Arabidopsis thaliana: one gene and its partners. The protein of the gene in region 1 interacts with the protein of each later gene in a biochemical or structural test. Each region holds a gene or a part of one and is shown on either strand. Other genes may lie near its edges. The genes, in order: TTG1, GEM, TTG2 and BHLH32.

Region 1 (8,229 bases):
TTCTTCTTGCTTGTATGTATACCGAAAGAACCTTCTTTTCTAGGCTTAGAGAGCAACCTGGATAAGAGAAGAAGAGATGCCATTAATATACAGTAGGAGTAGAAGCCATTGAACACAGCTAACGAACTTGCCTTCGGCTGACATTGCTGCTTTCTGGTTCATCATGAATCTCTTCGACGTTATAGCGTGGATTCTGCAATGAAAATGAGACATATTAACAACACAGTTCGATTCGCATCGCATCGGTGAACACTGCAGAGACCTAATCCAGTTCTACTGCTAGTAATAACCTAATACATTATGACTATCAATGCCATTGGAATCACATAACGTAAGGATATGCAATAGTCATGATCACTCACATTGTCTGAAACTGATGTTGAAATCTTCATCTTCTTGCTTTTTTTCCGAGCAATTCCACCATCATCATCATCAACATCATCACATTTCCTCTTTTTCTTCTTCTTCTTCTTCATCAACTTCTTCAACTTCGAAACAACTCTTGATTTACCTTTCTTCTCTCTCACTTTCCAAACATTTCTCCTCCTGAAAACAAGTTTCTCAGATTTCCAAATCTTAAAGCTAGTATCAATCACGGTCACTTCACTTCTCGAAAACCCAACTAGATCTTTCTCTCCTTTCTCTTCTTCCTCATCCACACCATCACCTTCCACTACACTTCTTCTCCTCTCCCTAATCTCCGGCGCCGGAGGTTTCTTATTGTATGAACTACGCGACGATGAAGTAGCGAATTCACGAACACTAGGGAGACAATTAGCGTCGTCGCTTTTCTGATTTACCAACGGAACAACAACGTCTTCAGGAGTCTCTAAAGAGCAATGCCTAGGGTTTGATTGTTTCCTTGGTAACTTCTTCTTCCCGGGAATTGTGGAAGATTTAGAGGAGCCGCTGAAATTGAATAGCTCGAAGAGAACATCGCTCATCACGCCGTACCATTCTCCAGGAACTGGCTCCTCCGATGGACTTTCAGCTAATTCTGGATCTGAAGGAATTGGAGCAGATGGAGGTGAATCGGAAGCGGAACTAGTGGCGGCGATTTCCGTGTGGTGGTTGCGGCGGAGAAAGTCGTCGAGAGTAAGTGGATTGCCAGAAGCATCGTCATCGTCGGTTGTGAGGCCTCTGTTTAATCGGAGGCGGTTGAGCCAAGTGGAGGAGGCAGGTTTGTCGTCGATGATGGAGCTTAGCATCGGAGACGACGAAGATACAAATCTTGGCTCGTCTTTGTTTTGTTTTTTTTCTCTCTGCTGTGAATTTAAAAACAGTGCGCCGTTTGGATTACAGGAAAACTACAAATGAAAATCCTGAGTTCAACTACGCGTCGTCTTCTTATTATCATTTTTTTTTTTGGTAACAATAAATACGTCTTCATATGGTTTTGTTTTTATAAATCCAAAAATACTAAAACCAAAAAACATTGAAAAGCGGATTTTTCTCTATCTTTAATCTCTCGTAGTACTAATGTTAAAGCGGATTTTTTGGCACGAAAAGTTCGTACCCAACCGCTTCATATTATATTTGTAAACAACATTCCTCAGGATTGGCTCGTTTGAGTCCTAATTAATTTTCGGATGACAAAAAAAAAAAAAACATTGAAAAAGAAATTCCCCCATATTTTTGTTGTTGTATATATTTATTAAACAATAGCCAATAATAGATTTGATTTATTTTTGTTGTCTCTCATAAACAATCAAATAAATTGTAAATAATCAAAATATTCATATGAGGCAAAATTCATAAAATTTGGAAGCAAAGAAAAAGAAGCTCTTCTAGTCAAATAATCCGATTATCATGTCATCTTCACTCTCTTCTTTGATCACCTCCTAAGATTATAAAACAATTATACCATTTAGTATTTGATTTAGTAGTTTGTTGTAATTAATAATGTGATAATAAATACCATCTCATTCTTCTTCTCCTCGGGAATAGAGACTGATTGAGAAGCGGTAGGAGCAGCAGTGGTAACTGGACGAGCCACACCACAACCACCGGCTCCTACATTCATGATGAGATCGTCGATGTTCTTCTTCTCACATAGCTTAGCAAAGAGGCTAGGCCAGTATGACTCGACATTCACGTTGGCTGTTTTCACCAGTTTTGATATGTTCTCAGCCTAATAATTTTACATTATTACAACACTTAAGTGAGATCAGTTTGAAACCACAAGGCAAGAAAAGAGAGATGACGATTCTAGAGACTAAAACATAGGCTAAACAGTGTCTCAATAGCTAGAAAACAAATTTGAAGAAAGAGAGAAGAGAAGAAAACTAACGGTGATCTCGATTCCATCATCGTGGAGGATGAGAGCAGCATAAGTGCAGGCGAGCTCACTGGTCGACATTCTATCTACCTTTAACCTCTTTGTACTCTAAGTTGTATTATTATCGCTTGCATTTTAAGTTTTGAGGACGTAGGTATTTTATATTTGGGCTAGAATTTTGTAAAATTTAACCCATCACATAAAATCTGACAAGTAGCTTGATCTTAATTGTAACAAGATCACAACAAATTTAAAAACATTTTGACACATGTCAAATAGTTACATTTTAGAGTATACATTTGTTCCTAAATCTAAAAGATTTCATAAGCTAAATTTTCTATTTTGATCATCTTATAAATTGAAAAAAATATGAGTATCCATGTTTTCCAAATCACTTCTCAAACCATTAGAAAAACTCTATTTATATACAAAGAAACACATTGTGATTATTAGAATAAAATAAATAAAATTTTAAGTATGGTATGATATTATGGAGACAAAAGTTAAAAAGTAAAATTTTCATTTATAGTATATAGATTTATAACATTTTGGAATTCTACTATTAATGGTTTATAGATTCTTATATTTCTAGAGGAGATTATCGGATCAGTGATTTAAATTAATTCTCATTTTTTATAATTTTCAAGATTGAAAATTTTGCTACGATTTATAAGACTTCAGATGTGAAGATTCTAAAATATTTGTGTCAAACATTGGATTGTTTATAATAATTTACTCACCAAATTCCCATTGGAGTTCATTTCAAATCTTTGTGTCACATAGTCGACTGAAACTCCATTGAAATTCAATTTAAATCTGTGTCAAATAAACAAATAAGTCTTCCAATGGAATTTATACTGCAAATCTTTGTGTTAATTATGCAAAGAAGTTAATTCAAACTGACAAACTCCATTGGAATTCATTGCAAGCTGATTTATCTTAGAGACGTCCAATAAAGCAAGACAGGGTTGCATTGTACTAAGCTCCAATTACCAAATCTAAACACCAGAAACCGCAATATATCCTGGTTGGGTTTTATACACAACATAAGATAATAGTATCATTTGGTTCATCAAATGAATTCAGTTTTAGTTACAATCAGATAGATACAGAGTCATTGCGGACCTAAAAGCGAGAGGGAGCGCAAACCAAACCTACTTACGCACATGACGATTATACGGGTCTATGCTAAAATCCTTATTGATCACTTCACATCTGCACCTGACATCAAGTGAAATGTATAGTAATTATAAGGAAAGGTTATTTGATTTTCTAGGTTGCATATGTGCGTGTATATATGCAATGCTGTTGTCTAAATGAGTTACAAAAACCTGAAGCACACATACAAAGATGTTCAAACCAGCATGAAGTTTCCAATTCCACTTCTATATGTTTCTGAGGGCATACAGCACAGTCAGCAGTAAACAATTCTCAGATACTTCGTTAAATTAACAATATTTGTATACGTAGCTAGTGGCTTCGTTAAATTAAGAATAGATTGTCTCAAAAAAAAATAGACTGAAGAATTATGGGTAAAAATTAGAACCTGACGAGTGTACAACTATTCATCATATGATACATCAACTTAGATGAAAGCCAACATATGACTACTACACTATCAGCCATTACAGCAAGTGTGAGACCTGTCGCTAATAAGAGCCAATATATATGACTACTAAACTGTGATTTATGTATGCATAACAAAGTAATTGATTTTAACAGAGATATTGATTCAGGTAAATCTAAAACGAGTTAGTGTCAAATCTCTAGTGGCTTTGTTATCAAGAATCGAAAAAACGTTTAGTTACCAAACCTAGAAGACTATCTGTAATGCAACACAATCTAAACCAATAATCAATGCTTCCTCATTAGAATCTAGGCCTAGCAAATGAGAATTATGTAGCGAAACAGAAACTCTCACCTCAAACTCTAAGGAGCTGCATTTTGTTAGCAAAAGCAATACCAATCCAATCAGGCTGCGAAGAAGACCACTGCAACTGATTAATCTCCGAACCAGCCGAATAAACCGACATCGGATCAATCCCATTGGGTCCAGCAACAGTAGGAAGCTCCCAAATAAGAGCCTGTGTATCATCACCACCAGAACAAATATGTTTACAGCTCTGAGGCGCCCAAGCTATAGCATTCACACTAGCCTGATGTCTTTCAAGCTCAGCAACAGGCATAGTCGGCGAACGAATATCGAGAATCACAACCTTATTAGAATCCATCAAAATCGTAGCCATATATCTAAGATCTTGTTTGTTCCAAGCAAGTCTTAACAAAGGCGTATCAGGCTGAGGACTCTCGTAAATGATTGTAGAATGTTCCTTATCACGTAAATCAAAGATCCTAACGGATCCATCAGCAGAGACTGATGCGAAAACCCTAGCTTCTCCCCAAGCAATGTCATGAACCTCTTTATCATGAGCTATAAGCTGAGTCTCAACAACAGACTTCTCAATATCCCAAATCGTACACGTCGTATCAATACTACAAGTTCCGAGACGTTTCGGCTCTACATCGTTCCAATCGAAGGAAGTCAACGGCGCACAAAACTCGCTCGTTTTGCTGTTGTTGAGAACCGAGATTGGCTCGACGGTTGATGAATCTTCGTTAATTTCCCAAAGACGGAGGAAATCGCCGGAGGAAGCGAGGAGATCTCCGGAGGAAGGACGACGGAGAGAAGGAGGACTGAACATTAGCTTTGTTGGAGGATAAGGATGCTCGAAGGAGAGATTCGGGAGAGGCTTAACGGTCATTGAATCGGAATCGAAAGAGAGAATGTCGATGCGGTTGTTGTAATCTTCGAGGAAGCTTCCGACGGCGATTCTGTGACCGGAGGATGAGCGGAGAGAAGAGAAAGCCATGGCGTAGAGTGGATATGGTGAGTCGTATGTGACGGCGGTTTCCGATCTGGATAACGAATCTGGAGCTGAATTATCCATGGAAATGTGTGGTGCTGATTCGATTCGAGATTTGGCTTCTTCACGACGAAAGTGAGAGGAGAGTTTTGAGGTCAGTGTCAGTCGGATTTTTCAAGAGACGGAGAAATAATCAATGGAGACGGCGTAGATATAAACCCTCTGGATTAATCAGTATCTTTTAATGTATCTATTGATAATGGGCTTCTGTATATTCAGATAATGGGCCTTTTATTTTAACGTTAAGAGCTATAGAATGGCCTAATTATTGGATCACTAGGATGACATGAAACACTAACAACATTAATATGTGACACTCTAATCATTTTACTAACAATTGTCTAATTCAGCTAAAATAAATTGTTTGTGATTAAGATAATCAACAATCCTTTTTTATTATTATTATTAAGAAAATGTAAAATTTATTCGAAAAAAGCTTTTAACATTCGGTAAATAATTTGCATACAATTTTTCAAGAAAGTTCTACTCCCCTTTAGTGTTTATATTAAAGCAAACCAAGCTTCCATGCATTCATCGTAGCTTCTATCTCCTTGTTCACGAATAGAGAAGATCCAGATTCAAATTTGTTTGTCAATATTTGGAAGCAGTTGCGCCGGCGGTAATGGTGCCTCTCCATGTCTCGTATTGTTGCTCTCTCTCCATATGGAATAAACGCGATCTCAAAGGTGTAACGTGCTAAAAAGAGATTTAGTCTTCCCAATGACGTGTCTGTGAGGGTTCTTTCAACATCACTCCACCTTGCAAGTGAATAATAAGCTTAGTTAGTCTGCTAATCTTTATCTGAAATTTGGTTGTTGGCATTTATCATAAGACATCGAAGTTGTAAATTTGGAGACAATATAAATCTAGCATTAAACACATGTCAAATGGAGGATTTATCAAGTGGTAACATAAATTCTTATCATAATCTAGCATAAGTCATGAATCAATAAATAAATAATAAAAACTAACCACTAAATATGATGAAAAGCATAAACATAACTAAAGAATATAAATAAAAGATAAGAGATTAAAAGGTGAAAAAATCTTTTACTAATTGGAATGAGAATATGAAGATCTTGATCCAAAATGTAAGAACATTATATAGATCTCAAAATTTATGAAGGGAGAAGAAAACTTAGGTTAAAAATGTCTAAAGCTTACTTAAATAAGAAAAGATTCAAATTAAACATGACTAGAATATGTGTAGAAAACTCGAAATAATGTTTTTTAAAACACATTTATGGGTTATTACGATTTTTCTGTACAATGACAGAGGTTCAAATTTAGAGGAAAGGGACATAACGAAAGACGCCCTACTTTGACATGCCCTACCTGCTTCAACCCCAAACCCACGTTTACTCCAAATTCATACTATTTGATATTACATCAATCAATACAAATAGATACATCCAATAATTCGTACATACTCGTGATATTCACTTATTTAGAATAATAGTCAATAGTTCATACTGTAATTAATAAATTAGCCCATTGACGACAAAAAAAAATGAGCTCATTAATTAGCTACCTAGTATATTATCTTGATCAAATGTTGGTAATTCAATTAGCTAGTTTTTGGGGAGAATAAAGTATGGAAGAATAGGGTGCGGTTCATAAGAGAGTTAGCTAAGGAGGTATTGGAGGCGAGAGCTAGTAGCGGAAAGGCAACACAAAGGGCTGGTCGGGTTGAGAAGCTGATAAAATGGCTTATCTCGTCTATGGGCTGGTTTAAATTAAATACTGATGGGGTATTTTATGGCAATTCGAGACTCGCGGCTGGTGGTGGTCTGATACGTAATGAGGAGGGTGAATGGTGTGGAGGCTATGCGCTAAACATAAGGATGCTTATTTTATGGCCTATCTACCAACTTGACATTAAGAATGCTTATTTACAACGTATGAGACCGTTTGCCTGTTTTCATCCCCATATTTGTGGTAAATGGTGGTTGAGATTTTGAAGACAAGGTTATGGGACTCTCATCTGCTATCATTTCCAGTACGTTTGCGCTATAGTTTTTTATCGAAAAACTAGATTGACCGTGTTTCACATATAGAGAGGCTAATCATTTTACGGACATGTTAACAAACTATGCTTGTCTTTAAGCTTTTATGCTCTTGTTTATGTTCTCCGGTGTGCGGATGAAATCTTACGGGATGATGTTTCTAGACCTGTTTGTTCAAGACGAGTGATTGTGTAATTGTTATTTTTGTTTTTTAATAGAAGTCGGGAGACATTCTCTCGGTTATTCACCAAAAATGATTTAGTAACTATGATCAAAAACTTTTGTTTGAGATTCTTTGGTTTAACAAAAAGAAAAAGAGTATGTTACCGAATTCAAATTATTAATATCCACGTAGCAATTGAATACTTAATTTTGGTATACCATATGAAATAAATATTATTTGATTATAACTAGTTTCTACATAATTTATGATTTTTATATGCGATTATGAAATCTAAGGCTATACCAAGATATACCTGATTAAAATCGATAAGATCATAAAATTTGATATCACATAAGAAGACAAAAAAGAAAGTTTAACACATATGTAACATCTCGATTTTTAAAATATAATGATGCATCTGGAAGAGTTTTAAATAATTAATTTGGTCATATATATTATTAAAATGTATTTATATTTTTGGTCTAATATTCTGAAAAGACTTTAAAAATAAAGATTTTTAGGTTGGAACAATTTTAAAATGAATAGCTTTTAATAAGTGATTTTTGGAATCATATGAATAAAAGCAAAACACGAATATATTATGTGATAATTTGTAATATTGATAAACAAATATTTAAAGTCTCTTGGATATGTATGAATAAAAACAAAACATGAAAAAGATCATGTGATAATTTGTAATATTGATAAACAAATATTTAAAATCTTTTGGATATAATAGACTGACATTTGGACAGAAAAAAATTTATATATTGGGTTCACTCCTAGAGGTGAACCTCTTTTATTTACCCCTTTTTAATTAAATAATAATAATAAACAATATGACATATCATACTATAT
Region 2 (9,422 bases), on another chromosome or scaffold:
AACTCAAAAGCTCTCTAAGCCAAAACGACAGCGTATAAAGCTCCGGCAACAGCTGTTCCCACAAGGAAAGCTTTGTTAGCCCATGCGGCACTTGGTGCATCAGCAGCACCGTCTGGTCCTGGAGCTGGAGACGAAGTTGGAGTTAATCCAGCGGAAGGACCGGGAGCAGGAGCATCGGTCTGAGGAGGAGAAGCAACCGGGGATGTTGTTGGAGAAGTGGTAGGAGCTGGAGTTGGCTCGTTAACTGGAACAGGCGGTGAAGCAATTGGTGAAGGTGTTTCTGCTGTCACTGGAGGAAGCGCCGTTGGTGGAGGAGTAACGGTGGTTGGTGCTGGTGCAGGAGCTTGAGCGAGACATGAAGTGGCCAAGAAACCAAGAAAGATCAAAGCTTGCATTGCCTTAGAATTCATTTTTAGATTATCTCTTCTTTGTCTGAATCTTGAAACTCTCTCTGTTTAATGTTATAAACTCTTCTTTATTTTTGTTGATGGTGTAGAACAATGAGAGAAGAGAGCTCTATATATACGCGATGGTTGGGAAATAGTTAATAATTAATTATTGGTGTGACACTAATCATGCGAACCACATACAAAAATACAACATGGCTTAGCTTTTCAATGGCGGTTTAAAATAATTGTTGTCTTTTTTCTTTCTTAAACTTGACGTGTTTGAGTTTTTGAAGTTTTCTTGAAGAATCATCTACATGAAGGAGCACCAAACGGATACACAGATCTCTGCCACGTGTTTTCTCTTAACGATGTTAATTCTGAGATCAGTTAAGTATTGACACGTGTTATGTTTATATTGGTTTTTAGATATGATTTGACTCTGCGTAATTTGCTTTTTGGTTAACCGCGTTACAATGCCAGGCGTAAATTAACTTGAGTTTTGCCTAATGTTTCGTGGAAATAACGCGTTTACGAGTAAATAATTAACATTATACGAAAAATGGGTCATTATTTAAGTTCATATTCATATATAGTATGTCTATCAAAATTTTCAACTGTTAATTATTTTAGATGTATATTATAATCGTTTCTGTTGAAAAAAGTTATTTTATATGTTTCGTTGTAATGTGTTATCTGGACTGATTATACGAGCAAGGGCTGGCAAAAGCTGTCATATTTTCATGTTAATTAAATTAATAAATTAGTAGATCATTATAGTTATATTTATGGTTTTTATTTTGTTGCAATATTCTAGTGACAGATTACTTGGTGGCCATTATTGTTACAAACTTACAACGAAACAGTCAAGCAAACGCGCATTGTTCATATTCTACAGCTATATCATTATTACGGTGTGAAATGCTTCATTTCAATAAGAACCTACCTAACAATTATTTATATTCCTTGAATAATAAATTGTTAGACTCTTGCTTTGACCTTAATATGCATTGTATCAGTATCTTCTTCATAAGAAAATTATAAGTTGAAAACTTTTTTCCTGCCAGCTTTGACCAAATGAATATATTAAAAAGTTACCAATAAAGAAATTTTAATTAATTTGATTAGTAGTACAAGTTTGGACGAGGCCTTGGCAGGCCTCTCTTTCTAGCTTTTCGTGGATGTGGCCTAACCTCGTAACTTTTCGTATTTTATCAAGCCCAAAGTAGCTTTCCGTTATCACTTATATGAAAAAATCTAAGATCTAAGGGGAGTTATTGATTAGTATTTTAATTTATAATCTATATACATTAAAGAAAATAGAACATCTTGAAACCTCTAAATAAATACACCGTGCTTAAAAAACTTCACGAGATATTCAATTGATTTTTTTTTGTTTAGAATATTAAATAATCAATACTCCATTAGATGTCATTTACCCAAAAAAAAAAAAAAAAAACTCCATTAGATGTTATTATTGTAGATTGTACCAATAAACTCTGATATATAAGTCCAACAAAACTCCATTAGCAGTAGTGTTGGTAAGCTCCCCATATTCTTGGGCTTTAGTTTCAGAAGATTTCATGTTATCCGTCGGCTTAGTTTATGGAATTATCTTGTTAATCGCCACTTTTATATAATTTCATATATAATCTATCTTTTAGTGCAAAAAAAGTAAAAAAAATAATTTCAACGAAACTCAAGTTTGGAACCGCAATCCAATTATTTTAATCAAATCATTGACTACCGAAATATTTTTCCACCTTCAAACAATCTAAAAAGAAAAATAATTTTTTTGATCAATTCACCAACGTTATTTAGTTTATAAAACATGATAAAAGATCCTCCAAAAATATAAAACCTAGACTTTCCTTAAATTTTAAGAAGTGTACTTTTGTTCACTCAATTTATTATTTCTCTGCCAAATTCTCTATATTCTTCACACGTAATTACTATCTAGTTCTCGTCCATTTCCTTTATCATTTTCTCATTGTCTTGTAAATTGACCACTCTAATGATCTCTATTATTTCCTCTAGAATAGAGTATGATTTATCTCCAATCTATCACTCTATATATAGAGTAATCCTACAATTTTCTCTATTTTAAAGTAACATATAGAATGAGGATGGAGAGAATGTACTATATCATAGAGTTTTAGAGGACAAAATTAAAGTGGGATTGGAGATGCTAAGTATGTAAATTTGGTTCGGTTAGCTATCATAAGGGACCGAGTGCTATATGACAATGTATTATAGGTAAAAGAAGTGATATTGTCTCCTGTAGATTTAGTGTCCTTAACCGTTCATCAAATCTATGTGAATCTCAGTAGTAGGTAGTTGGGTGAAGAACGTGTGAAGTCTATACAACTCATATTACTCCTCAAACATTTTCTGATAATATATTGCATACATTGAACCTCTTTTTAAATTCAAAACATCAAAGGTATTGATCTTACATAGAAAAAAACATAGACTCTTATGTTCATGTCCCTATTGATCTTAGTCATACCTCATAATTGTCTAACAAAGAAAATCAAAGGTATCATAATTATCATCATATGTAATGTAGGGAACAAATCTGTATTTACTGGTATATATATATAACACAAAAAAAATTACCAAAGAAAAAAAAAGAGCAAAGGGAACGATACCATTAGTCCCAATACCAATCCTTGCAAAATTCAAACTCAAACAAACCGTTTATCTCACGCGCCGCCGTACTCGCCACGATCCGTCTTTGGAGACCAATTTATGGAGCCGCCGAAGGGAGATACCGTAGTGAAGACTGAGGTCCCGGTGAAGGATCCATCGCTAAGCGTCGTCGATTCGAAAACGAAGGGAGTCGAGGATGCGAACACTGAGATAGCCTTGTCCGATGAGGTTGAAATCGAGACGAAGGGAAGCGATTCGACACCGGTGAAAGCTCCGAGTCGAACATCGTCTGGATCGAAGAAATCTGTACATTGGAGCCCCGAATTGGTGTCTGGATCTCAGGAACCGGATCAGAAAGCTGCATCGTCTTCTTCGGCTGGATCTAATCCGTATATTGCTCGTTCTCCAGCTGAGACTTCAGATGCTTCGTTGAAAGGTAAGAGTGTTGTGATCGTAGCGGTGAGAATTGAGATTGTGTATTGTAGCCTTATTTACCTTTTTGTGGATCTCTCTCTGTGTCTGTGAATTGGATTCAGATACGATGGAGACTGTGAAAGGAGTGCTTGGTAGATGGGGAAAGAGGGTTGCAGAAGCAGCAAAGAAGACGGAGAGCCTTGCCGGGAACACATGGCAACACCGTAAGTTTTCGTTTTTTTTTAATATCAATTTGTAATCAAATTCAATGCTTAGAGTTCTGTGGAATCAAGAATTGTTCATAGGGTATTGTTAAAAGTAGCTTGTTCTACTCAAAGTCTACATTTTTTTAGAGAAACATAAAAGATTTTTTTTGCTGTATTATGGTTTTCTTCCTTTGTTGTATGTTGGTGTTTAGGTTAGTACTGGTTTTAGGATTGAGTAACTATCATCATATTCGATAGTGCTCAAGTGTATTTTTATGATCTTCAATTCTTTGATCTCTTTTCAACATGTTGTTGCTATAAAATGGGACGTTCTTACTGGCTTGTGTTGATAAATTTTCTTAATTACAAACAGAACACTCCCCTGAATTTCAGTCTTTAGGCAGTACATTAAAAGACAATGACCTTTGATCTTGTTGAGTTCTTGCTAAGAATAGTAAACGGACTATTTTAGTTATGGAATCATATTGTGTTGGAAGAAATATCTCGGTTTTTCTCAGGTTTATCTTCATAAATAGTTTAGAATCACAATTGTTCTACGTGGATCTCTTGCCTTCGATTTGTCTCCAGAACCAAGATTAATACCACATCTGCTCGGTATTAGAGGATGATCTTTTGATATTGTCAAGTTTGTGATCACAGTAATTAAAAAATCTCTGTCTTGGATTTGAACAAGAAGATTCTCCCAGTTTCAGTCTGTCAAACTTTGTAGCTTGACCCATGACAAGTGTTTATAAGAGAGTCGGAATAACCTTAAAGCTGTTTTTTCTCTGTGTGATGTTTGCAGTCAAGTTTTTAGTAGATTGTCTGGTAACAAATAAAATATCAGATTGAAATTAGGTGCTCTGGATTAGGTATTAGTTGCCATGTTACTTCTTTGGAACTTGGAATTTTAATGCCTTTGGTGAACATTAATCAAAAACGCCATTTGACGAATTAAGAGCTGGATATTAGTTTGACCTTCGGACATGGTCATTCGTGATGTAGTCTAAGTAGTAGGGAATTAGCTCCTAGTTTTGAGATCAAAAAGCCTTTTTGCGGACTGAAGAATTACCACTCTAATCAAGTGATGTTCTTGGTGGTTTGGTGAATGTTTGAGCAATGGAGGTGGAGGGAAAATGTCTGATGACTAGCTAAAACTATAGAAATTGGGGAATTAAGAAAGTTTACACGATTAAATTTATGTTTAGAGTGTTCATGTGTGAACTCTATAACTCATGTCTTCCTTGATTGGGTGTGTTTTAGTTGTCCGCTTCTCTAGCATATTCTATTCAGGATTCGTTTGAGTGATCTCTCTTACAATCTTCTACTTTAGTCAGTGAGAACTGCTCCAGTTTTTTTGTATTTCATATCATGTTTGAATCGATCTTCTATGTTTAGCATTGTTGGAATGGATGTTTGCGCTCAAATATAGTAGATCTTTTGTTAAAGAAGTGAAATATTGAATAGATGCTCCGGAACAGATAGAGTTGCTATATTGCTTTTAGGAACTTGGATTAGATAATACATTTGGATGAACATTAAAAAAAAAAGAAGAAACAGCCTTTGGTGAGTTAGGAGCTAGAACTGTGGATATGAGTTTCAGCTTGGGACATGGTCGTGTTATGGATAGAGATGAGTTCCTGGGTAAGTGTTTGAGTAATGGAGTTTGAGGGAAAATGTCTAATGCCTGCATTTACATAGTATGGACGTAAAGTTTGAATTTGGGTGACTGAGAAAAATAACATGATTCAATATACGTTTCAATTGTTTGTGTGTGAACTCGCAATTCATCTCTTCCTTGATTGGATGTGCTTTACTTGTTTGATTCGCTAGCATTTTCATTCAAGATCTATCTGATTGATATATCTTATAATCTTCTCTTTTTAATCAGTGAGAACTGCTCCGAGTTTTGCGGATGCTGCAATGGGAAGAATTGCACAGAGTACAAAGGTCTTTGCAGAAGGAGGATATGAGAAGATATTCCGACAAACCTTTGAGACAGATCCCGAAGAACAGTTGCTAAATTCTTTTGCATGTTACTTGTCAACATCAGCTGGCCCAGTTATGGGAGTTCTATATATATCCAGTGCCAAACTTGCTTACTGTAGTGACAACCCTCTCTCCTATAAAAACGGTGATCAAACCGAATGGAGCTATTACAAGGTAATGTGTCCTACACCTTTCATTTCAGAATTATAGCCATTTTGAAGACACCATATTATTACTTTTGTGATCATTAACTGTTCGAAATCTGTTGGCTGGTTATCTGGTCAATGCTTGAGACAATGTTTCGTTATAATTTGTTAGTAGCATCAACTAAGGAGCCTTCGTAGAGTGATTCATTTGGATAGAAAAATAATCTGGACTTGTTAACGGAATCATAAATCCATGGACTTTTTTTTTGTGATAGTAATAACATGATTGCATCAGCTTCTCATCTCTTGTTTCATCGAAACCAATCCGATACGATTGCATTTGCTTATTCATTGTAATAAGCTTTGCTACATTGATGATTGATGAACACTTTGTGTCTTCTTCTTAAATAGGTAGTAATTCCATTACATCAACTTAAAGCAGTGAATCCATCAGCGAGCATAGTCAATCCTGCAGAGAAGTACATACAGGTGATTTCGGTAGACAATCATGAGTTTTGGTTCATGGGTTTTTTAAACTACGACGGCGCTGTCACGTCTCTGCAAGATTCTTTGCAAGCCGGTGCTTTAAGGTCGGTGTGATACATAACTGGATGACTGATGACCATAAAAGCATGTTGATCTCCACCTCTTCTTGCTTAGTCATATCAGAAGACTCAAATTTTTACATTATTTTGCATTTAATCTCAATATCCTATTTACTACAGAAACTAGCTGAATTTTACAAATTTACTTTAAAATGTTTTATCTTTTGATATTTTTATGAGAAGACAGCTTAATTGCAATTTATTCAATAGCAGTTGCTTTTAGTTTCTATGTTGAAGAACTCTGAGGTAGTAGGATCAACAAATGTGAATTCAACACGTCCCAGGGACAACGGACTATTAGAACCGATTCAAATTGCTTCCACCAGTGACAACTGAAAAATATACCGAACCAGTAGATCTAAGAAACGAAATTTACTCGCACCCATGTACGAAATTGCCGCACAACTTTTGATATTTACTAATTTGCCCCAATAAAGTTCAAAATACACAACTCCTTTGACTTCTGCAAAGCATCAGCTCGAAAAGTATTTTTTTTTTTGTGTTAAAGGGTTTATCAGCTCGAAAAGTATTTCATTATCTTTTCATCGAATCAGATTCAACTTACGAATTATAAGAGCATCTGATTAGGATTTATTCCAAAGATCACTAACTAAATTCGAAATTTATTCACAGAAGTTCTAGTCACTAATTTTGTTGAAGACGATTTTTACATATTTAGAGGCGTGATAAATATTACAGACAAAAAATGAAGTTAGATTTTGTTTCGTACTTCTTCGTTAATCTAAAGAGCCAAAGTACTGTGATCTAACACTGTCGTTGTGTTTTTTTTGTTTTGTAAATTTGGCAAAAACTCCCTCCAAAAAAAAACTTAGTTGACTGAGAAAACTAAGCAAAAAGATCTCCGATCGGAATCTTCTTATTCGCCATGGATGCTCTTTCTCAGGCGATCAGTTCCGGGATCTCCGTTCCTTACAAGAACAATTCTTCTTCTCTCGTTCCTTCTCACGGACTCACCTCCTTAATCCTCCGGAAATCGAGATCTCCGGTGAATCCCTCATCACGATCTCGCGTCTCGGTGCGAGCTTCGGAGATTCAACACAGCAAAACCTCAGCTTCATCGATCGATCTCAGCGATCCAGATTGGAAATTAAAGTATGAGAAAGATTTCGAGCAACGATTCAGCATACCTCACATCACTGATGTCTTACCTGATGCTGAAGCCATTCGTTCAACGTTTTGTCTTAAGATGAGGTCAGATCACTACTTTAGCTTGAGGTACCAGATTCTGGGTTTTGGAAAATCTATTAAATTGGAGTTTTGATAATTTAGGTCTCCGACGGAAGATTTTGTTGGTGGTTACCCTTCTGATGAAGAATGGCATGGATACATTAATAACAATGATAGAGTTCTTCTCAAGGTTTAACTTCAGATTTTTATTTTTATTTTACTGAACTTTGTAAGATTGATTTGGCTTGTTTTGGAAATTAGGTTATTAGTTACTCCTCACCTACTTCTGCTGGAGCTGAGTGCCTTGATCATGACTGTTCTTGGGTTGAACAATGGTAAACATTTGGACTTTCTTTGAGTTTGGATTTGTGGTTCTTTTTTGGTTTTTGGTTATAATTGGTGTGATGGGATCTTTAGGATTCACCGTGCTGGTCCGAGGGAGAAGATATACTTCAGGCCGGAAGAAGTGAAAGCTGCGATTATCACTTGTGGTGGCCTTTGCCCTGGTCTCAATGATGTCATCAGACATGTGAGTTTGTATCTGAAACTTTGGCATTATAGAAACAGTGTGTGTGTGTGTGTGAAGTCCTACTAAAGACCTTTGATTGTTGTGTTGTATGGATACATTGCAGATTGTCATTACTCTTGAGATTTATGGTGTTAAGAACATTGTGGGGATTCCTTTCGGTTATCGAGGCTTCTCTGATAAAGATCTAACTGAAATGCCGGTATTGTTCGATTGTGCTCTTTCGAGAAAAAGGAACCCGAATCTCTGTTTCTGTTTTGGCTTATGGTTTGCTTTTTTGTGCTTTCAGTTATCAAGGAAAGTGGTTCAGAATATTCATTTATCTGGAGGAAGTTTGCTTGGAGTTTCACGTGGAGGCCCGAGTGTGAGTGAAATTGTCGACAGCATGGAGGTATCATTTAGTTTTTTTCAGTCCTTAAGGAACTTTATGAGATCACAGATTCTGAATTCTGAAAATTGAATTTACTTAGGAGAGAGGAATCAACATGCTTTTCGTGCTCGGTGGAAACGGAACTCATGCTGGCGCCAACGCTATACACAATGAGGTTCGTTACTTAACACTTGAAACTAACTAAGTGTAGTTCGTGTGAAGATATTTTTTCTTTTTCTTTTTCTTTAGTTTGTCTAGTTTGATTTACCATTCACATTCTTGCTTTCAATTCTAGTGCCGCAAAAGAAAGATAAAGGTAGCTGTAGTTGGTGTGCCAAAAACCATCGACAATGATATTTTACATATGGATAAAACTTTTGGGTTTGATACTGCTGTTGAAGAAGCTCAACGAGCAATTAACTCTGCTTACATTGAGGTAACTTTCATGTACTCTCATTTAGGATATTCACTAACATGTCTCTTTGCTTTAAGTACTTAACCATTGCTATTTGGGCCTTCTGTATTAGGCACATAGTGCTTATCATGGCATTGGCGTTGTAAAACTGATGGGTCGTAACAGTGGTTTCATTGCTATGCAAGCCTCTCTAGCAAGTGGACAAGTCGACATCTGTTTGATTCCTGAGGTACTTCTTTGTTATTATTTCAAATTCCAAAACATGATTGATGAGCTCGCTCTAAGAGATCCTATGCATCTAAAGGTTCCCTTCAATCTTCATGGGCCTAATGGTGTATTGAAGCATTTGAAGTACCTTATTGAAACAAAAGGCTCTGCTGTGATCTGTGTAGCAGAAGGAGCTGGACAGGTAACTATAATTCAACCCCAAATTAAGGAGCTATTTCCTCTACTTGAGTTCTTTGTCCAGAAGTTATATCTTTGTTTACATTTTCTTGGCATGTTGTTTCAGAATTTTCTTGAGAA
Region 3 (8,100 bases), on another chromosome or scaffold:
CTCAAAGGTATCACTCAATGACTTCAATTGTGTATAAATGGCCAATCTTTTTAAACCAAAGATCATTCTGTTACCTTCTTTTCTGCAAGATAAGCTGCTCGTTTCCGACAGAGCACACATCTGAAAACATAACAAGCAATCTTAGATAGTTACACATAGTCATAAACCAGAATCATCAAATATAATGAGAAAATTACCCAAAATGACGAGCAAATGCAACAACGGCCTTCCTATCTTTCCATAAATCAGAAATCGGAATCTCATTTCCTCTCAAATCCAAGACTTTCACTGTATCTAGCGAATCAGCTGTACCTTTCCCTATTCCAGCTCCTGTGGAGAATCAATATAATCTAGTAAGTAATCTAGAATCTCCGTATTCAATATAATATAGAAAGAGAAGACACTTAAGCTCACCGGAAGAAGCTCCGGTAATGGCCGACACGACCACGGCGCTACGCCGGAGAGAGACACTACGAAAGTGAGATTTGACCGAATAACCAGGAAGTACTGTCCCTAATCCATGAATCGTCTTCAGCTTCGGCTGCAGAGTAATGGACGTGATCGTCGACGACGACGAGAGAGCAATCGCCATTGTTGCTTCCAGAGAAAGCTGAAAATAATAATAATCCCAATTTAAAATCGAAATCGATTTTCTCATACCGTTGGTTAATCTCGTGGAGTTGGGTTATTACACGTGTCAGATGATGTAACCATGATCTCAGAGAAAAAGTCACATGCCACGTCAGTTAACTTTAGGGCAAAATGGGAAAAGAATCTAAAGAGCATATGTTCGTGCACGTTCTTGTTTAGGGTAAGCTCAAAGCTCAAGCCGCTTCTATCTCTCTACATTTCTCTTTCTGCAATGGCGAGATTAGTGCGTGTGGCTAGATCCTCCTCCCTCTTTGGCTTTGGTAACCGTTTCTACTCTACTTCAGCCGAAGCTAGCCACGCGTCGTCGCCTTCGCCGTTTCTTCACGGCGGCGGAGCTAGCAGGGTTGCTCCGAAAGATAGAAATGTTCAGTGGGTGTTTTTGGGATGTCCTGGTGTTGGAAAAGGAACTTACGCTAGTAGACTATCAACCCTTCTCGGCGTTCCTCACATCGCCACCGGCGATCTCGTCCGTGAAGAGCTTGCATCTTCTGGACCTCTCTCTCAAAAGGTGCGACCTTTTTTTTTCTTTCCCATTTTCTGTTACTGTGATTCTGATGGAGATTCTCTTCTTTGTTCGATTTTGGATCCATATAGTCTGAAATTGAATGTTTAGCTAATCGGACTTTCATTATTGGATCTGAAAATTTCCGTCTATCTCTCGATAGATCTAGTGAGCTAAGTCCATTTGAAAGTGTTTCTAACTACATTTGATCAGTATCATAACAGATCTATTCATATATATTAAAGTCAATGGCTTTGTTTTGTTTGTTATCTGTATGCATAATTGTTAAACAATCTCTTGTTACTTGATGCAGCTATCGGAGATTGTAAATCAGGGAAAATTGGTTTCTGATGAGATCATTGTAGACTTATTGTCCAAAAGACTTGAGGCTGGTGAAGCTAGAGGTGAATCAGGGTTTATCCTTGATGGCTTTCCTCGTACCATGAGACAAGCTGTAAGTATTATTCGTTTTAAGCAATTTTTGATAATCAATCTCCATTATCATTTCTAACAGTGGATTGTCTTTTGGTTCAGGAAATACTGGGAGATGTAACTGACATCGATTTGGTGGTGAATTTGAAGCTTCCTGAGGAAGTTTTGGTTGACAAATGCCTTGGAAGGAGAACATGTAGTCAATGTGGCAAGGGTTTTAATGTAGCTCACATCAACTTAAAGGGTGAGAATGGAAGACCTGGAATTAGTATGGATCCACTTCTCCCTCCACATCAATGTATGTCAAAGCTTGTCACTCGAGCTGATGATACTGAAGAGGTGGTGAAAGCAAGGCTTCGTATATACAATGAAACGGTAAGCCCCTCTATTGTCCTTTTCCATTGCTAGTTTATGAACGATCAGGTGTTAATTAGTGCCTTTTTGTATTTTTCTATATGCAGAGCCAGCCTCTTGAAGAATACTACCGTACCAAGGGAAAGCTTATGGAGTTTGACTTACCTGGAGGCATCCCAGAGTCATGGCCAAGGCTATTGGAAGCTTTAAGGCTTGACGATTACGAGGAGAAACAGTCTGTCGCAGCATAAGTTCACTATCAAATCCCGGTATTTAAAATTCTTTGCATGTGGAATACATATGCGTAATCAATTTTGTGTTGGAAATAAAAGTAAAAAGAAAACCTTAGATTGTTTTTCACCTCAATAGAAATAATCATACACACTTGCGCAAACTATTATTTTTCCACCAGCCGGGGATTTTGGCTCCATGAGAGAAATATGATGTATCATGATTGTTTGAGATTGCTAGTGACATTACAGGAATGTATCAATACTTCTACACCACTTGTTATGCATTGAGTTTAATCGTTATGCTCTTGTGATATGTTTTTTTTGGAAAATGTGATGAATGATGATATTGCGGCTGGCCGAGCTGGCTGGTTAAAGAACTCAACCAGACAGTAAAGTAAAACAGCCGCATAGATTAAACGGGAACTTATAACCAGCTCTTGACTGTCCTAGCATTGGCGGTGCGGGATAGAATCGTTCCTTACATCATGGAATTGATGCTCTCATTATCGGTCATTGTGTATTACTTGCTCTGTTATTTGTTGTGATCAAAACCTAGCTTCTGTTTTACGTTTGCCGTCTCTGAATTTTTTTTTGGTTTTTAACTCTCCCTACGTGAGTATGGATGGTAAATACAGATTCAATTTGAAATGCTGAACGGGACTTGGCTCATAGCAATCTAAATCACAGTGACAAACGTGTACTTCGATTGCCTTTGTGATGGTCAATCAAAGCTGTAATGTTGTTGGTTTTTGACGCTAACCGGAACTAAACTCCTTTCACTGAGAGGTCTCGATGAGAGAAATCATTGTCATGAACGAAATAATTTAAAACATGATTTAAGATTACAGAAAATGCCTAACGCAAAATTATTGACGAATCACAAGGCAAGGAAGAAGTAGAGAGGAGAGTTGATAAGAAAAGAGAAATCTTCATAGAAACTAAAACTGTGTACAAGTGTTTATATACATTGATTAAGCTTCAACAATCTTCTTAATTAACCACATTGATTAGCTTCAACAATCTTCTTAACTAACCTAACATATTAGTTAGACAATTAATAATGTCAACTCCAATATTTGTTGAAACTCCAATATTGTTATAAATTGCAAGCTAACAAAGTAACAATTGATAGGTTTAATAAATATTTTCGTCAAATGATCATTGGGTAGTGGTATTTAATAATATTTTATTAACTCATGTAGTGAAAAGTATTGGACAAGATGACTGAATTTTCTTCGTCTCTTATCTAACAGAGGTGTAACCGAAATAAACCGAATTCAATTTGGTTGGGTTGAGTTAAAATAAAATAAGTTGGTACAGTTCAGTTCACGTGTTTACTTCGAACAGAACAGGCTCGTGCGCGTGTCAACAACCAATAAGTTCTTTTGGTCGCTGTAGTCTTCAACTAAAACCAAACGACACCGTTCCTTGTGGCCGCGTTTTCCAACTAACTTTCAACTTCAACTAACGTTCAACGAGTGTCCATCTCCTCTATCTCTCTTTTTCCTTTTCATTGGCTTCTTCATCACTATAGAGACTAAAACTGACCTTGATCCATCCAACGTTCCCTATACTGACACGTGTATCCATCACAGTGTCGGCTAAAGCTCAAGGAACTCATACCAAGAAATACATCATCATCTCTCAATAATCACAAACCGGATCCGGATCAATTTGGATCCATCAGATTTTCTTCGTTCCCTAACTCCTAAAAAGGAGAGATTCTTCAAATCCTTATCACAACTTCAGTTTTTGCATTCACCGTCGTGAGTGTTCTACTTTTGGTAATGATTCACTAGTCAAGTTTCTTTCTTTATGCTATAACTTGCAACTAGATCTTGTACTAATGGAATTGATGTTTCTCCAATCATCTTCTTTGATTTTGCTCCATCTTTCTTTTCCTAATTTGGAAAAATGAGTCTTTACCTATAGAATCTGATAAATATGTCTCTTACATAATTGATTAAGGTCAAGTAATGGAGGTGAATGATGGTGAAAGAGTGGTAATAGCAAAACCAGTTGCCTCAAGACCTTCTTCAAGTTCTGGCTTCAGGACATTCACTGAGCTTCTTACTGATTCAGTTACCGTATCTCCGCAAACGACTTGCCACGAGATTGTAGACGCTGCTATAAGACCAAAGACTTTGAGATTCAATCAGCCAGTAGCAGCTTCGGTCTCATGTCCACGGGTATCGAGTTGTCTATTTAATTCTTCGCATTGTTATCTTCTTTCCGCATCCTCTAGTCTTGACTCAACTATTTCTGATAATGATAGGCTGAAGTAAAAGGTATTGGAAATGGAATGTCTTGTGATGATGATTCAGATAGCAGAAACTACGTCGTTTATAAACCGAAAGCAAAGCTTGTCTCCAAAGCAACCGTCTCTGCATTGGCTAATATGGTAAGTTGATTTTAAAGCTAACAAGGTCACTGACTTTCGAATGTTGTTTAATTCTGTTTTCTTTAGCTTCAGGGGAATCGTCAACAAACTTGGAGACAAAGCGAAGCAGTATCCTATGGGAAGAGTGTGAGCCAAGGTACACATCGAGCAGGTCCTAATCTAGTCCAGAAAGTTCCATCTTTTACGGAATCAGAGACATCTACTGGGGATAGATCTTCTGTGGATGGATACAACTGGAGGAAATACGGACAGAAGCAAGTTAAAGGAAGTGAGTGTCCAAGGAGTTATTACAAATGCACACACCCGAAATGTCCGGTGAAGAAGAAAGTAGAGAGATCAGTGGAAGGTCAAGTTTCAGAGATTGTGTATCAAGGTGAACATAATCACTCAAAGCCATCTTGTCCTCTTCCACGGCGTGCTTCATCATCAATCTCTTCAGGGTTTCAAAAACCACCAAAATCGATTGCTTCTGAAGGATCAATGGGACAAGACCCTAACAATAATCTCTATTCTCCTCTATGGAACAATCAAAGCAATGACTCTACTCAAAACAGAACAGAGAAGATGAGTGAAGGTTGTGTTATTACACCATTTGAGTTTGCTGTTCCAAGATCGACAAATTCAAATCCCGGAACTTCAGATTCCGGTTGCAAGAGTAGCCAATGTGATGAAGGAGAGCTTGATGATCCAAGCAGAAGCAAAAGAAGGTAAGATTGTTTCAAACTCTTAACTTCTGCAATTTTGTTTACATTGCTTGTATTGACTTTGTGTTTGATAACAGGAAGAACGAGAAGCAATCTAGTGAAGCAGGAGTATCGCAAGGCTCAGTGGAATCAGACAGTCTTGAAGATGGATTCAGGTGGAGAAAGTATGGACAAAAAGTGGTAGGAGGCAATGCGTATCCAAGAAGTTATTACAGATGCACAAGTGCTAATTGCAGAGCAAGGAAACATGTTGAACGAGCGAGTGATGATCCAAGAGCTTTCATTACAACCTACGAGGGTAAACATAATCATCATTTGCTCTTGAGCCCTCCATCTTCCTCTACTCTTCCCTTTAACTCCCCACAACTTTCTAAGCAAACAATTTGATTTGATGATCCATTCATGCTTTTTCTTTTTTCTTTTTCTTTTTTTGTTAAGAATGAGAAAAAAGAAGAAGCAAATGGTAAATACAATCACCATTTGCTCTTCACTCACAACTTCCTAAGCAAAAGCCATTTGATCAATTCATGCCTGTTTCTTCAATCTTTATACCACATTAGTTAATTAATCGTGTGAATTTATTTGTTTTTACATTAAGATTGTAAGGACAAGAAGATTGATGTTATTTTAACAAATCCAAATAAAAACGTGTGTTATATTTTTTAGGGGTAACTTTCTTCAATATGTTTAGTTTATCGAACTTGAGAAATTTGACTTCATGGGACCATTTCTTTTCTGTTCACGTTGCTAAACATAATGCAATTTCCATCGGTGTAACTCAATTACATTGGTGGTCTATCGAAATCCTCTAGATCTCAGTAACCACGTTGGTATTGTACTACCTTTCCAAGGAACATAAGATAAACTCATAAGCTTAATGAGTTATCTATCCGATACTTGTTTACATTTTCGCGGCGTGAGTCGAAGGGAGAAAGAATCACATGTCAAGATCACGCCTTGTATATCTTGTCCGTAGGATTGAAAGGCGGGTCATGTCTCGGAATTGAGAAGCCCTTAACCACCCGACTTGAGCCATGTGGGCATATACACATGATTTGCCATCCAGAAATGCTACTTACGGTATGGACACCATTGAGCCCAAATGCCTTTAAATGCAATGTACATGGTGCTTGGAAGACTGACAGGGAAATTAGAGGCATTGGTTGTGTCCTTAGAGACTCAAAATAGATTGTTTGAGTTATCTGAAATTTTTCATGGCTCCATCTACATCTTTTATCTTGGAGTAGCAGCAAATTGGAAACCATATAACTACCATGATTTATAGCACTTTAAACTGAAAAATATATAGATGAAATAATTTTAAATATGAAACCGTTTGATGATCAAGATCCCAAGTCGATTATAAGCGTCAAAATTTCATTAAAGATAGAGAGATCATCTGAAACATATCCAAAGCTAATGGAAACAACACAAAAACTCTTTGATATAATGCAAACTTAGAGGAAAGGGAGATCCCTTAACGATTGGCCTTAGCAACTCTCTCAATCTCATCTTTCTTCTTGATGGCATAGCTGCAAGACAAGAGAAGATGCTATTATTAGCTTAACTAACTAACAATAAAGTGAAGCCATCAAGAGACAGACTATGTAGATAGAGTGTTCTTACCTGTTGGAAGATCCCTTTGCAGCATTGATGAGTTCATCAGCAAGGCACTCAGCGATTGTCTTGATGTTTCTAAAGGCAGCTTCACGTGCACCAGTTGTAAGCAAGAAGATCGCTTGGTTCACACGTCTTAGAGGAGAGATATCAACAGCCTGCCTCCTAACCACACCAGCAGATCCAATCCTGGTAGCATCTTCACGTGGACCACTAATTCACATAAAGAACAAACCTTCTTAATTAGATTCAGTTCATAGTAACAAGCACGCAAGAATTTTACAGGTTTCAGTATAGCAATCTTAATATACCTGTTAACAATGGCATCAATGATAACTTGAATCGGGTTCAAGTCAGACAAGAGGTGGATAATCTCCATGGCATGCTTGACGATCCTGACAGCCATCAACTTCTTACCATTGTTTCTTCCGTGCATCATGAGAGAGTTAGTGAGCCTCTCAACAATTGGGCACTGCGCCTTTCTGAACCTCTTCACAGAGTATCGTCCAGCAGTATGGGGAACAAAAGTTGCGTGCTTCGATGGCTGAACACCAATGTAGTCCACAAGACTAATATCCGTAACCTACATAACACCAATATGCAGATCAAAAACAAATATTAGCACACCAATCATATAAAACACAAAAAATACATGACCTTTAGTGTCAAATTAGTGTTATAATCAAAACAAACACAACATGGGTTTCAGTGAAGACGGACAAAGATTATAATAGCTAAGATCTAGTAAGTGACTAAGTGAGGACTATAATTTGATATAATTCACACAATAAAGCTAATGTAACTACTCATATCAATATAAACCAATCATTTCAATGTCTATCATACAGCTAAATAAGAATTAGATCCTAGACAATTCTCAAGTGTCTAAAGAGATATTCTAAGAGAAGGGATTGGTGAGGAATATACCGAAACGTCATCAAAGCTCCAACGGTTGAAGAGCTTAACCTCATTGGTAAGCTGCTGTTGAATCTCAGCGTCGATTTCTGCGGAGGCGGCCATGACTGGAGGATCAATAGAAGATTAGTAAAAACCCGTAAATAGGAAATTAGAAAATGAAAAAACAGGAATCAGAGAATGGACCTGAAACTCTATAAGTGTCGAGAGAAGTAGGGATCTTTAGCCGCGGCTTGAAGAAGAAGAAGAGAAGGAAGCTCAAGCAATGAAGAATAAACCCTAAAAATGAGT
Region 4 (7,833 bases), on another chromosome or scaffold:
TCAGGTGGGAAGAAACTGAATCTGCATCATTGTCTCATTGAAATTCTGTTGTCGGCCAACTTTAACTATGTAGCCCATATGTCTTATGTACTCATCTACACTACACCTATAGTTTATTTTGTCATGTACATATGAATATATATATATATATATATTATATATATATTATATATATATATATTATATATACATATATTGTTATATGAATGATAAAGTTACATAGCTTAGACTATACATATTAGACTGATAAAATCTTTTCATCTATAATAAAGAAACTGTATGGTAGAAAGTATTATCCCGATACATCATAACTATAATTGCAATTGTCACTATAGAATCTAAGTTCGGTTCTCTTGTTGTTTTGTACATCCATCTATGTGCAGTGAGAAAAAAATCTGTCTGCAGTAAGAAAATCTTGACGCACAAAGTTATTGATGAGGAAGAGACAAAAGAAGTTGAAAGGTCAAAAAGACAAGAGGATAGGCTCGATCACGTGCGGCGGGCCAACACGGCGGTCCTACCACCGTCGCCGTCGTGACCGGAACCATCGTCCTCTTCTCTTGTCACTTTCTCACCTCTGGGTCCAAATTTTATTTGTTGATGTTCACATCATGGAGTTTCCGATTTAATGGTTTATTTTACATTACCCAATTGAACTAAACATTCCCACGTAACATTTGTGAACTATATCTTATTTCCATTTTTAGTCTTGTTTCAAGAACTCAATAGCTTTCAAGATTCAATGATTCCATAACTTTTACACTAGTCATAAAATTTATTGGAGTCGCGATTTCTGTTATTTATTTCGGGAGGCTAATGCAAATCTTTATAAGAAAAAAATTAAGTTATGTTCCATAAATGATTCTGCTATTTCATTTTTCACACCAGTATATTTGTTTCGCATGGTCATGTGTTTATAAACCAAGTTCATTGTTCGGAATTATGTTCATAATTCTTATGGTGTCTGTCTCCAACTAATCACAAATTCCAACTAGCTAAAGTGTTTTTGGTCTGCATGTAGATGTAGTCTTCGGTCTCATGCAATGTTTCAGATATTATTATTATACATATGTTTAAAAAAGATTCAACATTATTGGTCCACATACTTGTATGTTCACTTCCTTGTACTTCAACACTTGGTGGACTTCTCTCCAGGTGCATTCATATTTGTGTTCTTCTAATCTGTAACATAGCACATGATTTTATTTTCTCAACGTATTATATAATAGATATGTTTATACTCTATAGACATCAAAAGAAAATTTCTTACTTAATGTCAACTGTTATAAGACAATTATCGTCAATCTGTTTGATTATCTTATATTTCTAAACCTCACAAGTTCATATACTATGTCTATATTACATCTATTAATATCTAAAACGAGAATTACAATCAGATTGGCCTATTAGCTCAGTTGGTTAGAGCGTCGTGCTAATAACGCGAAGGTCACAGGTTCGATCCCTGTATAGGCCATTTTTATATTTTTTCTTTATTGGGCCTCAACATCAGCCCATGGGTCAAAATGATATCATCACCCACCGGCTATACACTCTTCAAAAGCACATATCGAATCTCTTGGGCCAAAATTGGGTCTAGAAAACTTGGCCTTTTAACTCGTAATTCTTAATTGTAAAGTCTTTTCTTTATTTTTTGTCATTTTTTTTTCTTTCATATTCCTGTTACATTATTAAATATTGCCGATATTTTACCATTTATATATTTTTTGTTGAAATTTTTTCCTCAGTGGATTAAATTTCCGACTGTTGGACCGGAATACAGAATTTGTCTAAAGCTGTCTAAGTAATAAGACTCAAGAAAACACCAAATTAATAAGCCCATTTTTTTGGTTCTACGTTGAATTTTGGACTAAAGGAAAAACCAGTAGATACAAAATGACGAGATCATGACGTAATGTGCTTGTGGTATCAACCGTCTCTGTAATATTGTAATAAATAACGTAAGTCAGTAACGGCGAAAGAGACAATATTATCAGAGATCCCAAAACTAAGTTTCTATAAATAGAACTAAGATCTAAGTTTTCACTTCTCACGAAAAAGATTCGATCTACTACTACTCTCGATTTCACTTGATATAACTTACACAAATCTTCCGTCACATAACTCTCTACATCAATCTAATTTAAGAAATATCACATTAATTATATATCGGATGTGAAGAAAAAATTGTGGTTTTAAAAAATATGTAGAAACTGAGGAAATAAATTATAGAGTAAGTACGACATAGACTATTTCTCCCATGCACATTTAAAAACTGATTTCGACATAATCGTTGTAGTTTGTCAGAAAAAATAACAATGGATATGCGTAAGAGATTTCTTTATGTCATTTCTCTTATATCAGTCACAATAGAAAATAAATTGACAAGTATAAAACTATACTCTATACTATTACTACGTAGTGTTGTTGCTTATAAACAAAAGATTAAATAGTTGCAGAGTTCATGAATATGATAAATAAAACTTCTTGATAAATTAATACAAACCCAAGCTCTATACATTTCCTATATTAATTAAGACGATAAAATGTCTTAACTACCATATATAAACCAAACTCATCACTATAAAACCCTAAACAAAGGGTTCTTCATAGATTAAAAAAACATAGAAGAAGAAACCCAATCCCAACTACTAAAAACACCGAAAATAATACTAATATCACCAACCCATAATCAAATCCCATTTTGCAAGTCTAATTAACTAACCCTAGTTAATAAAGACTTGACTTAATTAACTAATTATAACATCGATTCACCATCTTACTAGTCCTTTGCCTCTTAATACCCCCTGAAGATGATTTCTCCAAGTTATTGTTATCGTTACTTTCATCATTATTATGAACACACTTCTCTATAACCGCCTTTAACGCTTCTTCTATCGAACTCACACGATTATTCATCATCCTCTCTTCATCATAATCCTCCACGTCATCACCATCGAAGTTTCTACGATATGAATCATGATCTTCTTCATCATCGTATTCTCGGCTCAAGAACAAGATGTTCTTGACTCTACCACCTACGGTTGCGATCTCAGCTTTGAGAGTTCGAAGACGAAGAGACTTTAAGGCATTGATGACGTCATGCATGAGGTCAGTCCTGTCTTGGCAGCAAAAGGATGCTCTTATCACCAAGTTTCCTTCCTCGTCGTTGTAAGACGAATCTACGGTCAGATCATCGCACTCTGTTGGGACTTGATACGTGTCGGTGATCTGTGATGTTTGTCGTTTTAGCTCCTTCATGTGTTGGATCACTTCCGCTAGCAAAGAAGCTTTGTCCGTCTATACAAAACCAAAACGAATCATAAGTATTTAATCTTCTTATTCTTCTTCTTCAATAATAATAACTAGTACAAAAATACCCCATCTGTGGACTATAATTACTTACCAAAAATATCGATTTGATACATTTATTTTAAATTTGAAAATTTACAACTACTAAACGATAATAGTTGAACAGAGATAGATAAAAATGATAATATTGAAAAATATAGTACTTATCATTTTTGAAACTGAATAATTAGTACTATATTTATCAGAAAAAGAACAATTACTACTACTCTCTTTATTAAAAAACAACAACAATTACTACTACTCTAACCAATAATAACTAAATAAAGAGAAATTTTGAAGGATCATTAATTAATTAAAACTATTTTTCCATAGGGTTTTCAAAATAGTGAATTAGTTTCTGAAATATCAAACCATAATGAAAGGAGAAGAGTGTTTATTTATAAACGACTTACTTTGGTTGTGTTTGGTAATATACTACGCAGCTTAGCAAGATGAGTGTTGATTCTCTCTCGTCTTCTTCTCTCAGCTTCACTATGACTCTTTGAAGCAGCTAAAGCCTTAGCATCCATGACTTCTTGTGCACTCAATTTTCCCATGATCTCACCATCGAACCCAAAGGACGAGCCACGACGCATGATGGGTCCAAGAGCTTCGGATAAAATCCTTAGATGGTTCTGAGGATGATCCATGGAAGGAGGAGGAGAGACAAAACCGTCGTTATAGTCAAAAGAAGAAGAGGAAGAAGAAGCTCTTCTGTTGAAGTAGTGAACCGGGTCAGAATAACGGGTCGGGTTAGATGGGAAATGGAGTGGGTCAAAAGAAGGTAAAGATGTCGACGACCAGGGGAGAATTTGTGGATGATGATGAAGATGAAACTGGTCTTGATAGTCTTGTAAGTTGTGAAATGTTTGAAGACAGTCTTCTTCTTTCATTGCGTACATTTTTTGGTTTTTTTGGTTTTTTAGTTTTTGGGAGAAAGAGAATTTTAGAGAAGAAGAGACAAAAGGTCACAAACATCCCATTTGATAATGCATACACATGTGTATATATAGTGCTATATAATGTGTCCTTAATTTTTAAACAAAATTTATTTGATATTTTAATATTAAAGAATTCTTTCCAAAAAACCTTTTTCACCGGGTTATACAATCAGACCGCCATTATCTTTGATCACATCAAGGAGAATTGTGAGAAATAACGTATGAACTTAGTTCCATATAAAATGGCAGAATAGTATAGTGATTACGCAAAAAATATTATGTAACCTGAATTTATTTTCAACTATAATGTACCGTTAATGGATTTTTGATGTATTGCTGTATTCCAAATTTTTTAATTAAAAGTTAGTGGTTTTTCCTGTTTAATAAAAAAATCTATCATTTTCTTTGATTAAAATGTTATATATTACAGGTTTTTATGGGACCACTCTTTTTTTTTTTCTGGTATATCTAACAAAACAAATGAAACTGCAAGTGCTGCACATCTTCTTTGCTTTTCTTTTACGACTTCTAAATGGGGAGCTGTCATCATCTTGTGGATTTCTCTGATGGATTTGGCTTCCTATGAATATTATTATTTATTTATGTTCTTAAGAATTGATTTCATGTTAATGAATAGAAGATTTTTGTGCCTTTTCTACTTAAGTTAATCGTATTTAGGATAAAGTTCATGCGATTTGTAAATGAGGAATACCACGCCACCACTATATCAAAATATTATTTAGCAAAAAAAATACTAATTCAAAATATTTCGATATGCATGGTTATATATTAATCGTAACAGTTGATAATATATACAGTTATTTTCGTATATATTAAGATCTGTGAAATGCGATCAAGAATAATATGCAATAGTAGAAAATCATGATTTTAGCAAGATGATTCTGGTCAGCACCTAATTCATAGGCAAAAATAATAGTTGACAAAGTTATTTCATTTGAAACTTTTAGAAGTTAGAATGGTCAAATAGACACAATCATGTATACTTATTTATTTTTTTGGCATTTGACATGATCAGGGACCCAAAAGATATTGTCTAAGAACTCTATTTAAGAAAAGAAAAAAAAGTCTCAGATGCTAACTGTGAAAATAAAAGATGATGTCCAAAATTGTAACTAAGGTGTTTTTCTTCATCAAAACAAAGTTTTTTTTTATCTTGGGTTAAACCTAATCTAAGATTGTAAGCAAATCAAGAGCATTTCGTCTGCCTAATTTCTATAAGTATAATAAGAAATTTTCGAGTTTATACCACGACTCTACAATTCTACAAAGAAGAGAAGACTAAAGTAGATTTAATTTATATAATCAAACACTCCTACACAATTTGACATGCATTTAAAGGGGAAGAAGAAAGAGGTCATGATTATTGTTTTTTCATCAGGTTCTGAAACAACGCGTTAAAAGAATTTCATTTGGCTGCTTAATGTTTTTGTTTTTTCAGTGGAAAGCATAATAATACTCGAAAATTAACCAAAAGAATAAAAAACAAACACTGACCACAGGACACACGGATTGTCGACCGACCAGAGACCAAAAAGACTTTTACTTTTAATCATTAATAATCCCACTCGTTTCGTATAGCCAAACCCACTTTCTTGTTTTTCTTTCCTTCTTTAATCTAGTTTTTAATCTAATCAAGATTTTCTATGTTATAGATTTGTCTCAAGTGCACCGAAGAGATTCTCTCTTTTATTTAATCTATTCATACATATCCAACGGATAAATTTTGATTATGATCTGAATATATCTTCGAGTGTGTTAGCTTAATTGTCTCATACTAAAGAAGATTCAAATCCTAAAATAATTAGTGAAAATTCTCAAACCTAACTCAAGTTTACCATCCGCCAGTTTATCAAGTAGATGTGCATATAATCATTTTTAAAGAAAAAAAGAGTTAAAAAGACTTATGAAAAAGAGGTAAAAAGACTTATATCATTATATATATAATGAAAAGGAGTGGAAAAACTAAATAGTAGGATACTAAAATGCTACCGGATTCGAGTACTATTTTTGTGAAAGATGAACTATTTTTGTGAAACTGTCACATGTTTTATCAAAAACTGATTTTACATATAATGATCTATAGATCCGAAAATTCTTCATTAAATATATACTTCCATATGAATGGTGATAAATAATAGAAGAAATGAGAAAATTTTGAGTATAAATTATAGGATAGGGTATGAACTAGGGTTTTGGGGTGGTGGTGCAGAGTGAAGCCCACACGACGTTCAACATTCTGGGCTCTTTCTCCACGCTGTCTTCTTCTTTTTCCTTCTCCAAGAATTCTAAATCATTTTGTCTTTGAATTTACTTCTCTTCTTGTTTGTTTCCAATAATACTTCTATATTATCAGTACTTGATTGATTTATATACATGATTCTTTTCTGTTTTTTCTTGTTGAAACTTGAAACAAACCTCGCTATAATTCTTCTCTCGAAAACTTTTTACACAGGTCCTAATGAAAAGACATTTGAACAATCGAATTTACATCTCATATATACTATGTATTTTGCTGAGATTTGTTCAATTGAGCTACTTCAATCTACTTATGAATTTTAGTATCTTTAGTTATAATTAATCATGAATTAAACTCAGAAACCTTTTAATATTTATAAAAATGTATATTCATGCGTTTATAAATGTATAAATATTTGTATGTGAAGGTTTACTATTTTTGATTTGCTATGTTTGAGTTAAAAAGCATATTTATCAGTAATGTTTTAATATAATTGACTCCACCATGTTTTAACTAATCCATTATATATTTTTTTTGTATAAAAGCAGATCACATATTGATATAGACGTTATAAAATATTTTTCCGACCCTTAAATTGTGAAAATCACTCAACTAAGGACTTGATCATAGATTTTTTTCCATGAGTATTCATGCTTTGATTGATTTTTTAAAAATAGTATTAATTAATTAAAATACAAGATGCATGAATATTGCTCCGTTTAATACACCAATAAAAACATGATGTATTAAAACAAATTGTTCGATTGAAGTACTATTTAAACTATACAGCGTACTAGATTTAACTAACTTACCTAGAAGACTTAACTAAATTTTAATACTAGTATTTACGAAAAGAATGAACATTGCATCAAAATCAAGTATACGAAAGGTATATATATCATGAAGCCATATTTTATACACTGAAAAAGTGATAAACATCATATCAAAAGCAGCAATAATAATACTAGTTTCTAATGACTATGGACATAACCTGATAATGTTTCACGGTATCCAATACTATATAACAAAAATACATTTTTCAATATATTATATTAATATTGTCACGAGACCATACCCTTTAGCGAGTATGTGCTTAACTGTTGGTCCATAAAATGTAATAATTTTATGGTGAAGAATCATATGATAGGAAACCATTGTTGGAAGAAACCTATAATCATTACCTTTAAAATAAAGTCAGTGTTCATGTTCAAAAGGCCTTTGAAAAAGCTAAAATCATTTTCATCTTGACAAGCATGGCTCATTTAAAACCAAATCAGTTCGTTACTT

What was found.
Region 2: the proteins of TTG1 (region 1) and GEM form a complex in vitro, tested with the Arabidopsis thaliana proteins (one study listed by BioGRID).
Region 3: the proteins of TTG1 (region 1) and TTG2 form a complex in vitro, tested with the Arabidopsis thaliana proteins (one study listed by BioGRID).
Region 4: the proteins of TTG1 (region 1) and BHLH32 form a complex in vitro, tested with the Arabidopsis thaliana proteins (one study listed by BioGRID).

What each region holds. Positions count from the first base shown.
Region 1 is NC_003076.8:8,367,508-8,375,736, forward strand, and holds TTG1 (Transducin/WD40 repeat-like superfamily protein), read right to left. Parts: upstream 5,341-8,229; 5' UTR 5,227-5,340; coding exon 4,201-5,226; 3' UTR 4,200-4,200; intron 3,674-4,199; exon of another isoform or gene 3,625-3,673; intron 3,500-3,624; 3' UTR 2,810-3,499; downstream 1-2,809. Other genes in the region: AT5G24500 (fantom protein), read right to left, coding at 1-57, 132-193, 363-1,208; AT5G24510 (60S acidic ribosomal protein family), read right to left, coding at 1,788-1,841, 1,919-2,131, 2,291-2,359.
Region 2 is NC_003071.7:9,538,386-9,547,807, forward strand, and holds GEM (GRAM domain family protein), read left to right. Parts: upstream 1-2,742; 5' UTR 2,743-3,137; coding exon 3,138-3,474; intron 3,475-3,574; coding exon 3,575-3,676; intron 3,677-5,549; coding exon 5,550-5,821; coding exon of another isoform or gene 5,822-5,857; exon of another isoform or gene 5,858-6,204; coding exon 6,205-6,393; 3' UTR 6,394-6,653; downstream 6,654-9,422. Other genes in the region: AGP2 (arabinogalactan protein 2), read right to left, coding at 15-410; PFK5 (phosphofructokinase 5), read left to right, coding at 7,285-7,610, 7,689-7,776, 7,848-7,921, 8,004-8,115, 8,219-8,314, 8,402-8,503, 8,583-8,657, 8,778-8,918 and 3 more.
Region 3 is NC_003071.7:15,641,129-15,649,228, forward strand, and holds TTG2 (WRKY family transcription factor family protein), read left to right. Parts: upstream 1-3,682; 5' UTR 3,683-3,956; intron 3,957-4,140; 5' UTR 4,141-4,148; coding exon 4,149-4,361; intron 4,362-4,362; exon of another isoform or gene 4,363-4,447; coding exon 4,448-4,573; intron 4,574-4,639; coding exon 4,640-5,280; intron 5,281-5,354; coding exon 5,355-5,664; 3' UTR 5,665-5,948; downstream 5,949-8,100. Other genes in the region: AT2G37240 (Thioredoxin superfamily protein), read right to left, coding at 75-120, 198-330, 415-592; ADK (adenosine kinase), read left to right, coding at 863-1,159, 1,467-1,607, 1,688-1,960, 2,047-2,190; RPS5B (ribosomal protein 5B), read right to left, coding at 6,755-6,809, 6,904-7,107, 7,206-7,477, 7,822-7,914. UniProt on the Arabidopsis thaliana protein: Transcription factor. Interacts specifically with the W box (5'-(T)TGAC[CT]-3'), a frequently occurring elicitor-responsive cis-acting element. Regulates trichome development, production of mucilage and tannin in seed coats, and maybe root hair development.
Region 4 is NC_003074.8:9,366,015-9,373,847, reverse strand, and holds BHLH32 (basic helix-loop-helix 32), read right to left. Parts: upstream 4,350-7,833; 5' UTR 4,251-4,349; coding exon 3,762-4,250; intron 3,298-3,761; coding exon 2,752-3,297; 3' UTR 2,361-2,751; downstream 1-2,360. Other genes in the region: AT3G25716 (uncharacterized protein), read left to right, coding at 435-629. UniProt on the Arabidopsis thaliana protein: Transcription factor required for MONOPTEROS-dependent root initiation in embryo. Transcriptionally controlled by MONOPTEROS.